Linked DNA regions of Tribolium castaneum. Each later gene encodes a partner of the first gene's protein in a complex. Links are inferred from orthologs where the notes say so. Each region holds a gene or a part of one and is shown on either strand. Other genes may lie near its edges. The genes, in order: polybromo and Snr1.

Region 1 (4,594 bases):
GTCCAGTCGTAACCAATGTCTGTGATTTGTTCCCAATCACCGACACTTTACGACTGAACTAAAAAATGCAAATTACTATTTTCGACGGCAACTTCATGAAAATCAGCGATAACTGTCGGTTGGCTTTAGCTTCCCGATAATCCCTGATCGCGTCGTACAAAGTTCTTAGGTTTTTTTCAACCGGCGAGAGAATTTTGCGCGGTTTAACACTGCAACTAAACTGTTATTTTTTTATTTTTCAGCCGGAAACGTACACTCTGACTACGGTTTTTTCCTTCTTTTCCGGAGTGACACTATGCCCAACTTTATCCAACAGATGTTTTTCCAAAACGAGGGAATCCTCGTAAATTGGCGAATTTTCCTCGTTAAACTGTCGGCAGTTCGAAAACATGAGCTTAAAATCTTTGACTAAGTCACTCTCGGAGCTGTACTGATCGGCGCGAATTTTTTGCTCAATTTCGAGGAAATCGATCGGTTCCGAAATGACTTCGTAATATTCCGAATACAATTTTTTCGAGGGTTTTTCCATAAAGCCGAGCATGGGCTTTCGGCCATCCTCACACTGAAAAATGGCTAATAGAAAAAAAATTGCAAAACGTGTAACTGACAGTATAGTCGAGCATATATTTCGCTAAAGCGTGCAAACGTTTTTTTAGCGGGATTGGGTCTCGCGGTGGACGCCCTCTTTGTGGCGTGCTGCCACTCGATTGCGTATTTTTTGGCTTAGGTCCTGGCTTTTTGCGCACAACGACTTCGGAATCTGCCTCACTGTCTGTATCCTGAAGATTGAAAAAGACAAAAATTTAAACAATTACCATCAACTCAAACGCCTGATTAGGAAAATAGTGAAACAAGCCGACTGATGTTAGCAACGTAAGCGCCCACAAAATGAATAACTCCCGACAGTTAATAAATGCAATGAAGACATAAGCAGTGCAGTAGCATACCTTCCGGTTTTTGTTAGTGACTCTGTATGTTACCTGATCAATGTCAAGTAGTTCTTGCACTTTCATTTGCATGACCTTTTGCAACTTGACAGCGTCCTGGAACAAACTCGCTCAAATTTCACGTTGAAAACGTTACCAAACTCACTTTATACAACCTTGACGACGGCAGGTTATACTTTTTCGCATTCTCAAACATTATGGTCATGTCACCGGCCACTTCGCTTATGGTGCCATAAGCGTGCTTGGTCAGTTTTCGTTTGATTTGAGTCAAAGAGACTGGGTTTTTGATCTCGCGGTAATAGTCTGGATAGAAACGTTTCGAGGGCAATTTCCAGAAGGGTTCGCTCAAGGAAACTCCGCTATTACTCGTCACTGAACGCACAGCCTCGAACAATTGCCACTGGGGATCTTCGACATCAAGAGGATCAGCAATTGACTGAAACAATTCATTGAAAAAACGACTTTGCACTTTGATTTGCTACTTCATCGTCCATCTGTTCCTCTGGTTCCACCTCAGCGTCCGACTCGTCGTCCCTTAGGGCTGCAGTGACCGCAGATAGCGATGTACTGCCCCTTAACCGTTTATTCCTAATGCGTTCGCTGCTTTTACCCAAACTTAATTTAATGTGATCCAGCTCGGCTTTTTTACTTTGAATTATCTACAAAATACTGAAGGGTCAATGGTACAAACAACCCGGCTCTCACCTTTTTCAGCGCTTTCGCGTTTTTGTAAATCTGCGAACCGGGTTCGTTAAACAAACAGGCGTTTTTGCACATTAACATCAAGTCTTTCTCGAGCTCGGCCAAGCTGCAATAGTCGTTAGTTTGGATTTTGGTGGCAATCATTTTTAGATCGATGGGTTGTTCGATCACTTCGTAATACTCGGGATATTTTTTCTTCGAGGGAATTAGCTGGAAAGAAGTGTGAAGTGGCCGATTTTCATTATCGGTCGCTGTCATGACTGAAGTGAACAGCTCCTCGTATAAATTGACATCGTCGTCGAAATTCGAACTCTCTGAAGTGTCCTCAGAGTGCTCAGGTTCTTTGGTTTCGACCGGAGTGCCGGCTTTTTTGCTCGGTCTTCCGACTTTTAACACGATTTTTCCCTTAGGTTCGGGTTCATCGTCTTTGGTATTAAGTAGTCTGAATTGAGACATGGCTAAGTGTTAATTAATTTAAAAACGGGACTCACTTGTGTTTGTTAGAGAGAAACAAGGCCCACAAATCTATGGCGTCGCGATACTCCTGCGAATTCTTTTTATAGAAAGCTTTCGTGTTATTGACAATTAACTCGATATCGTTCTGCAAATCCTCGATATCCTCATATTCCTCAGTTTTCAGTTTTTGTTGCACTTTCAACAAATCGATCGGGTTTGAAACAACCTCATAATAGCCGGGCTCTTGTCTACGTTTCGGTACTCGAATAAACGAATCGCAGAGAAGAGTCCCGTCGTCTTTTTTGTGATTGCGGATTGAATCGTACAATTGTTGACAAAGTTCCATCTAAAAACAAGGCGTCACAATGTGGAACAAACTCGCAATTTCCTGTTACAGGATCTAGTTTTTTGCTGCGCTTTCGCATCGTAGGTCCTGTACTAGTCGAAGCCTCCAGACTATCCAAAGAATCGTCTTCTTGCCCCCTACTGGCTATAGAACTCGTTCGACGCCTTTTACTCATTATGCTGAAAAGGTTTTCAACCAAGGCTACATTTAACTAAAGTAGTGAATCGTACAGAAATCAAATTACAGAAGTCTTAATTCAAATGAGCGCCAATTGTTGTGTCAAATGACGTCGTAAACAAACGCTAAACGGAATACCACGGACGTCGGTAACCATAAACACGCGCCAGAAATAGCTTATTGACAATGTACGATTGTCAAATCTCGTTAATTGATTTTTTATTATTGAAAAACACAATCAATGGCCGTAAAAATTAATACAGTCATGGCCTTACACTAATTGGGCAAATATCATGAAACAACTGCTAATTATGGTTGCAATTGGACAAACCTGGATTCAGTTGATCATCACACAAGGAAAAGTCCACAAAAACACACCGTTTTTGCAAATAAACCCTTGCACTTCACATTTGTGCACAAATCATAAATCGATAATAAAAACCGGCATCACTCGTCAACAAAATGGCTGATGGTTGACAATTCTGGGGGATTTTCGTGTTGTTGAATGTTTTGGGTTATGTGAGGTTATTGAGCTAAAATGAGTAGGTTTTTGTATATTTTGTCGTGTCTGTCCGTTATTTTCAATAGTTTTTGTAACTGTGGTGCAATAAAATCAATCCAGGATGATGATCTCATGAACTTAATCAGAAGTGAGACTTATGTGGTTGCGCTGTTTTGTAAGTCCCCACTTTGCGTTCCTATCAAGATTGAACGAAAATTCCAGCTGCGAAAAATTGCGAACTTTGTGATAACTTCGAAAACATTTTAACAAATTTGGAGGAAGAGTTCTCTAAATCATTTGAAGGAGAGACTGTTAAAGTCGTTAACAGCCAGTTAACAAGACTGTATAGCCCCACGAAGGAGCCGGTTTTGGTGTTTTTCAGACATGGAATTCCTCTACTTTATAATGGTATTGCTACATTTAACCGTAATCAATTTTATTCGCATTTATTTTGCTTTAGATATTCCTTCAGAAGAGCTAATTCTTCACACATTTGTTAACAATAAAGAACCGGTGGTGAAGGAATTAAACGATGAGACTTTTGAACACTTAACCCAGGCCGCCAGTGGGGCTACCACAGGCGACTGGTTTGTGATGTTGTAAGTCTTTTTAAATGGTTGTAGATTTTTGTTTAATTTTTTCAAAGTTATACCCCAGACTGTGTCGATTGCCACCGCCTTCAAGCCCGGTGGGAGACAGTCGGGGCACAATTAAAAACACGAATGAACGTCGCACGAGTCAATAAGGCGACAGATGGGGCCGCTACCGCCACACGATTTGGAGTCTCCCAAGCCCCAACTTTTATTCTGTAAATTGACTTCTCAATTTTGTTTCAATTCTCACACATTTTTTTAGCTTCAGACAAGGCAAAATGTATAAATATCAAATCCAAAAGTACGACGTTGCGTCTTTCACTTCTTTTGCCCAAGAATGGTACAAAAACGTGACTCCCATTAAAGTACCATCGCCTAAAACGCCATTGTAAGCAATTGCAATTTATCTTCTTGTGTTATAATGGAATTTTTCAGTGATAATATTGTCGAAAATATCGTACTTAATTTGAAGGAAAGCGCAATGGCGTGGAAAATTGGTTTAGCGGCGACTGTTGTTGGTTTCTTGTTGATAATTTTAATGAAATGTCGTAAGACTGAAAAGCCGCAAAAACCGACAAGCAAGAAAGACAAATAAATTTTTAACACTTTTTTATTAAAATAAATTGGTGGCTGACTTCATAACTCGTTATTTACACAATAGAAGGTTAATGAGGCGCTGGTGTGTGGCCATCAACGTAAAAGTTCCTCGTTGCTTGTGGCAATTCTAACTCAAGCCCTTCTAATTCTTTGGTTAAAATAATCTGACAACCTAACCTAGAGTTTTCTTTAAGAAACGGCGCCATGTCTAACAAATCCTCTTCTTTTTCCTCAGCTGGCGTAAGTTCGTGATCACTTTTCACATAAACGTGAC
Region 2 (4,614 bases), on another chromosome or scaffold:
TAAGTGACTAAAGTTACGTTTGCTGATTTTTTTGATATTGAAAAAAAAACCAAAAACTAGTCGCTCAAAAGCACCAAACATTATTTTTTATACAATTTTTTTTTATTTTTTTTATTTTAAAAAATCGTCTCTCAAAAATACCCAACGGTTGTTTTGTATTTTCGTCTTGTTAAATTTTTTTTATAAAAGTTTAACAGTTGGTAATTGAAACCCTAAATATAATTTCTAATATCCCGATTTCAACAAATATAAAAATAATAAAAATAAAAAAACTACGAAACTAACAACAATGCACAAAATATTGTGTAATTAAAAAAAATACTCTGTTGATGATGAAGGATGACAGTCAAATACATGTTCGAACTAAAAAACAAAAAGACAGAAGAAAAAACGAAACTTCTGAAAAAAAAAAAAAGTTTTTTTTTTCTTGAGTTGGTATTTACTTGGTCTAAACTTTAAATTAGGTCGGCTATAGATAAAAACAAAGGTTTGGGACTTGGGCCCACTCTACAATTATCAAATAACAAAAATGGGAGAATAAAACACTTTTATTATTATTAAATTTCTCAAAAATAAGCCGAAAAGTCACTAACCTGCGTCAAAAATGGTGATAATTTTGCATTTTTTGGGAGTTTTATCACCATTTTAAACTTAAAACTCAATTATTTTACATTTTTGAGCGTGTTTAGTACATTTTTCAACAGAAATACAGTTGGTTAGAATAATTAATAAATAATAATATATTAAATAGACTGAAAAAGCACCTCAATTTTTATTTAAATTGGCTTTTTGACAAAATTCTTCAAAACAATGGAGATTTTCGCTCAAAAACTTACTTACTTACTTAATGAAAAAGGCAAGAAAAATATGAAAGTAAATTTTTCGGCGCATTTTAATGCAATTTCGTATAAAAACAAAGCTAGATTATTTTAAGAAATTAAGCTGTTAAAAAAAACATTACATTTGATTAATTCTGTCACGAAACTTTGCAGTTCCTGGCTCCAAAACAAATAAACCTACCAGAAATTCTTAAAACTAGGACGTCAATTTTATCTCAATTTGCTTATTTTTGACAAAATTTTACAAAAAAGTCAGTTTCTCGCTAAAAAAAATAAATCTAACGACAAAAACTAAAATAATGTCGAACCAACCGTAACTTTCGATATATTTAGATATTTTTCGGGGTATTTAATAAAAAAAAAGTTTTCAAAAAAGAGAAAACATTGTCAAAATGACATAAGTTTTGACATATTTAGATGATTTTTCGGTGCATTTTCACGAAATGTGTCCAAATCACTACTGAAGAAAACGTCAATTTCGACCTAATTTAGTCATTTTTTGACAAAACTTTCAAGAACAAGTAAGTCTCATACTCAAAAACAAGATAAGTTTAATAAAAAAAAGGCAAAATAATCTGGAAATAACGCTATTACTCAACATATTTAGATGATTTTTTAGCGTTTTTATGAAGTTTTGCTTCAACAAAAAAGCAAAGTCACTTTAAAGAAAACATACACTTTAATCTAATTGGAACTGTTTTTAAAGAGTGTCAAATTCAGGTCATTTTCGACATATTTAGATGATCTTTTGACGTGTTTTAATTAAATTAAACTCAAAAAAAGTTATAAATCATATTAAAAGTGTTTAAAAATGCGTTTTATCAAAAAATTTATCATTTACTACAAGTTTGTAGTTAATAATCAGGACCCAGTATCAACAATATGGTGTCAATTTAGATAACAGATGTAACCTTAGTTACTAGACTACAGTCATTGCCAACATATTTTTCTCGTATCACGCAATCTTGATTAGTTTAAATGACTGGTGGCAGGTTTAAAAATTATTCAAGAATTAAATTTCAGATCAAAATGCGCTAATAAGTATTCGAAAATAAGTTGATAAGAATAAATAATGTAAAAGTTACAACTTTATTTCAAATGCAGAGCGTACTGTGATTAGAAAAACCCAAAAAATTACCGTTTTTATTCCACGTGAAAGTGTCTCTCAGCTTCTGCCCCTCAATTTCCATATCCAGCCTTATCGGGACCAACAACTCCCCTTGTGCCGCATTTTGCATATTCAGCTCTGGATCAGTATCATCAAAACATAACGGAAACGTCCGAACTTTCTTCGCCGCCACTCTGTTCCGATTAATCGGGGTGGCTTGGGGCACAGCGTCCAAATGACTGGAGTTTGGGAGTGAGGGCACCCATTGCATCGACTTCTTCGATTTACTCTCCCTCGGCATCGGCGGGTCCGAAGTGTGCACCGAAACAGCCTTATACCTAAATAATCAACAAATAACAACAAAACCCCCAAAAAACAAACCAACTTTTCGTCATTTCCCTCAATGATATCCTCGACTTCCGAGGCCCGAAGCAGTGAGACACTGCTGGCCAGAACGTGCTGGCTCAAGCCCAGCTCGATGAGGCGTTTGCGTTCCTCGTTTGTGATTGACCTGCGGTACATTCCGGGGTATTTCTTGTAGAGGGAACCCCGGAACAGGCGCAGGTAGTTCCCCACCTCGGAGCCCACACAGTAATACTCCCCATTTTCCTCCAATTGGAAAGTTATCGGTTTTTCACCGAATGTTCGGAGGGCCATTTTGCCGCGTCCTTTAACACTGTGAGGTTAGGTGACACCAACAAATGTCAACAGGGCACTCAAATGGAAAATACGGGCATAAATTACACAAAGCAAGGACACGATTCACATTATTTCGTTTGGTTTTGCACGAGATGGTACTTGGGGTTAATTAATTCAAACAATTCGTAAAAAAACACTTTTGGTGGCTAGTCTAATTGACAAAACTGAAATCACCAGAAATGCATTAACTAGGCGTCCTCTGGTGACGACATGTCGTACTTGCCGAAAACAGTAACAAGTTTTGGTAATTGCTCATTTAATGGATTATTTAGCAATTCTGCGTGTGTACTGTTAATTTTTTACATTAGAGAGAGTCAATTTAAAATTATATGCCGGTAAATACTAGTGTTGCCTTTGGTTTTGCGTTTTTTCGTGATTATAAAGTGTTTTATGTTGGACTTTGATAAAAAAGTGAAAAAGATTTTTGATTACAAAGAGTTATTTAATCTATTGCGTAATCAAAAACTGTTAAGTATTGGGTCATTTACGGCGATTTACACACTACTGTTCCTTTCGGCATTGTATTGAGATCTCCGGATAATTTTATTGACTTAAAAGATATAAATATTGAAAGAAAGTGTTATTTGTGATAATTGAAGTAATTTGTTTAAGGAGATACTGTAATGAATCACTAATAACCAATAATAATCCATTTAAATAATCACACAAAAATCAGCGTTTGTGATTTTTTTTGCTTTATTTCTTTCTGTAAGCCTTCGAATTTTATCAGATTTTTTCTACAATTTCTTATAAATAATAAATATTAATTAATGAGAAATATTTATATTAATAAAATATTATTTTATTTAAAAAAAACTAAAAACATTAACTAATGGAAATTTTTATGATTTATAGAACAAGCGATGCTTGCAGAATGTTTTGTACAAAAAAAAATATGTAAAAAAATAAGTGTTCTACAAACGACTTGTTATTTACAGAAATACAATTTCTTTATTTGTTAATGCTTTTGAAGATACGTTCGATGAATAAGTAGATGTGGTTTATAATTATAAACCTAGTGTTTTCAAAGATATGAAATTACGATTCTCTTGTTTTTCTAAAGATGTCTTGTTCTCATTTTTTGATATCCAACGGTTTTATAACGTGAGATTTCTGAATTTTATTTATTTTATTTAGTTATAGTTCATTAAACATTCATAAAAGATATAGGACTGCAATAGCTAAATGGAAAAAATTGAGGAACAGCGAAATAATTTTGGAAACATGTTAATTTTAACCAGCTGAGTCAATTGTGCCGCCCGACGTCACACCTAGAGAGACTTTGAGGTCTCATAACTTTTTTATTTTTACGAACATAAAAAAATGAAAAGTACCATTAGTTTTACAATTATGAAGACTATTAGTGGTATTAATTTAAAAATGTAAAATTCTAGAAACGTGAATGTTTCTAGAAATGTCTTTTCTGTCGTTGATTTTCTGTTGGTGACCAGAATTCCCGCTTGGGAATGCTAGTGACAGATAAAAATCCCTAGAAATGGGGACGTCAACCTAACCTCAAAATTATGCCCTGTGCCAATTTCTCCGCCAGAAAATCTAAAAATACCGCAAATGCTCGGTAAATCTATTTCGAGCGTGACTTCATGACTGAGATGAGCCAAGCAGCGCCTTGGCATGAGTCTAGGTTTCGAATCGTTGGTGTCCCTCGTCTCAGCCTCTTGGAAGAATCTAACCGTTCGAGTCCAGGAATACACGAAAGAAACCGTGGAGCATTTAATCGTAGCCGTGTCCGTGTACATCATAGTATGCGTGTTTTTGTACCTTTCCATCTCTCGCTGGAAGATAATCCACTTCAAAAAAGACGTAAAAAACCCCCATCGTGTTTTACTAGTAATCGCACATCCTGACGACGAATGCATGTTTTTTGGCCCCACTGTTTTGAACTTCACCAAACAGAACCAATGTAAAGTGTTCCTGATGTGTCTTTCGACAGGTTTGAGACCCGCTCAT

The links.
Region 2: polybromo (region 1) and Snr1 share a complex: the UniProt entries of both Homo sapiens proteins name them as parts of the SWI/SNF-B (PBAF) chromatin remodeling complex. The link is inferred for Tribolium castaneum from reciprocal best matches to the Homo sapiens genes PBRM1 and SMARCB1.

What each region holds. Positions count from the first base shown.
Region 1 is NC_087397.1:6,258,130-6,262,723, reverse strand, and holds the start of polybromo (protein polybromo-1), read right to left. Parts: upstream 3,102-4,594; 5' UTR 2,960-3,101; intron 2,653-2,959; exon of another isoform or gene 2,631-2,652; 5' UTR 2,627-2,630; coding exon 2,501-2,626; intron 2,452-2,500; coding exon 2,141-2,451; intron 2,092-2,140; coding exon 1,653-2,091; intron 1,607-1,652; coding exon 1,430-1,606; intron 1,384-1,429; coding exon 1,093-1,383; intron 1,044-1,092; coding exon 948-1,043; intron 780-947; coding exon 609-779; intron 563-608; coding exon 255-562; intron 216-254; coding exon 77-215; intron 1-76. Other genes in the region: thioredoxin domain-containing protein, read left to right, coding at 3,167-3,305, 3,353-3,538, 3,591-3,729, 3,777-3,938, 3,986-4,111, 4,159-4,318; Fdx1 (adrenodoxin-like protein 1, mitochondrial), read right to left, coding at 4,389-4,594. UniProt on the Homo sapiens protein: Involved in transcriptional activation and repression of select genes by chromatin remodeling (alteration of DNA-nucleosome topology). Required for the stability of the SWI/SNF chromatin remodeling complex SWI/SNF-B (PBAF).
Region 2 is NC_087401.1:13,705,511-13,710,124, forward strand, and holds the start of Snr1 (SWI/SNF-related matrix-associated actin-dependent regulator of chromatin subfamily B member 1), read right to left. Parts: upstream 2,831-4,614; 5' UTR 2,605-2,830; coding exon 2,333-2,604; intron 2,286-2,332; coding exon 1,978-2,285; intron 1-1,977. Other genes in the region: PIG-L (N-acetylglucosaminyl-phosphatidylinositol de-N-acetylase), read left to right, coding at 4,279-4,597.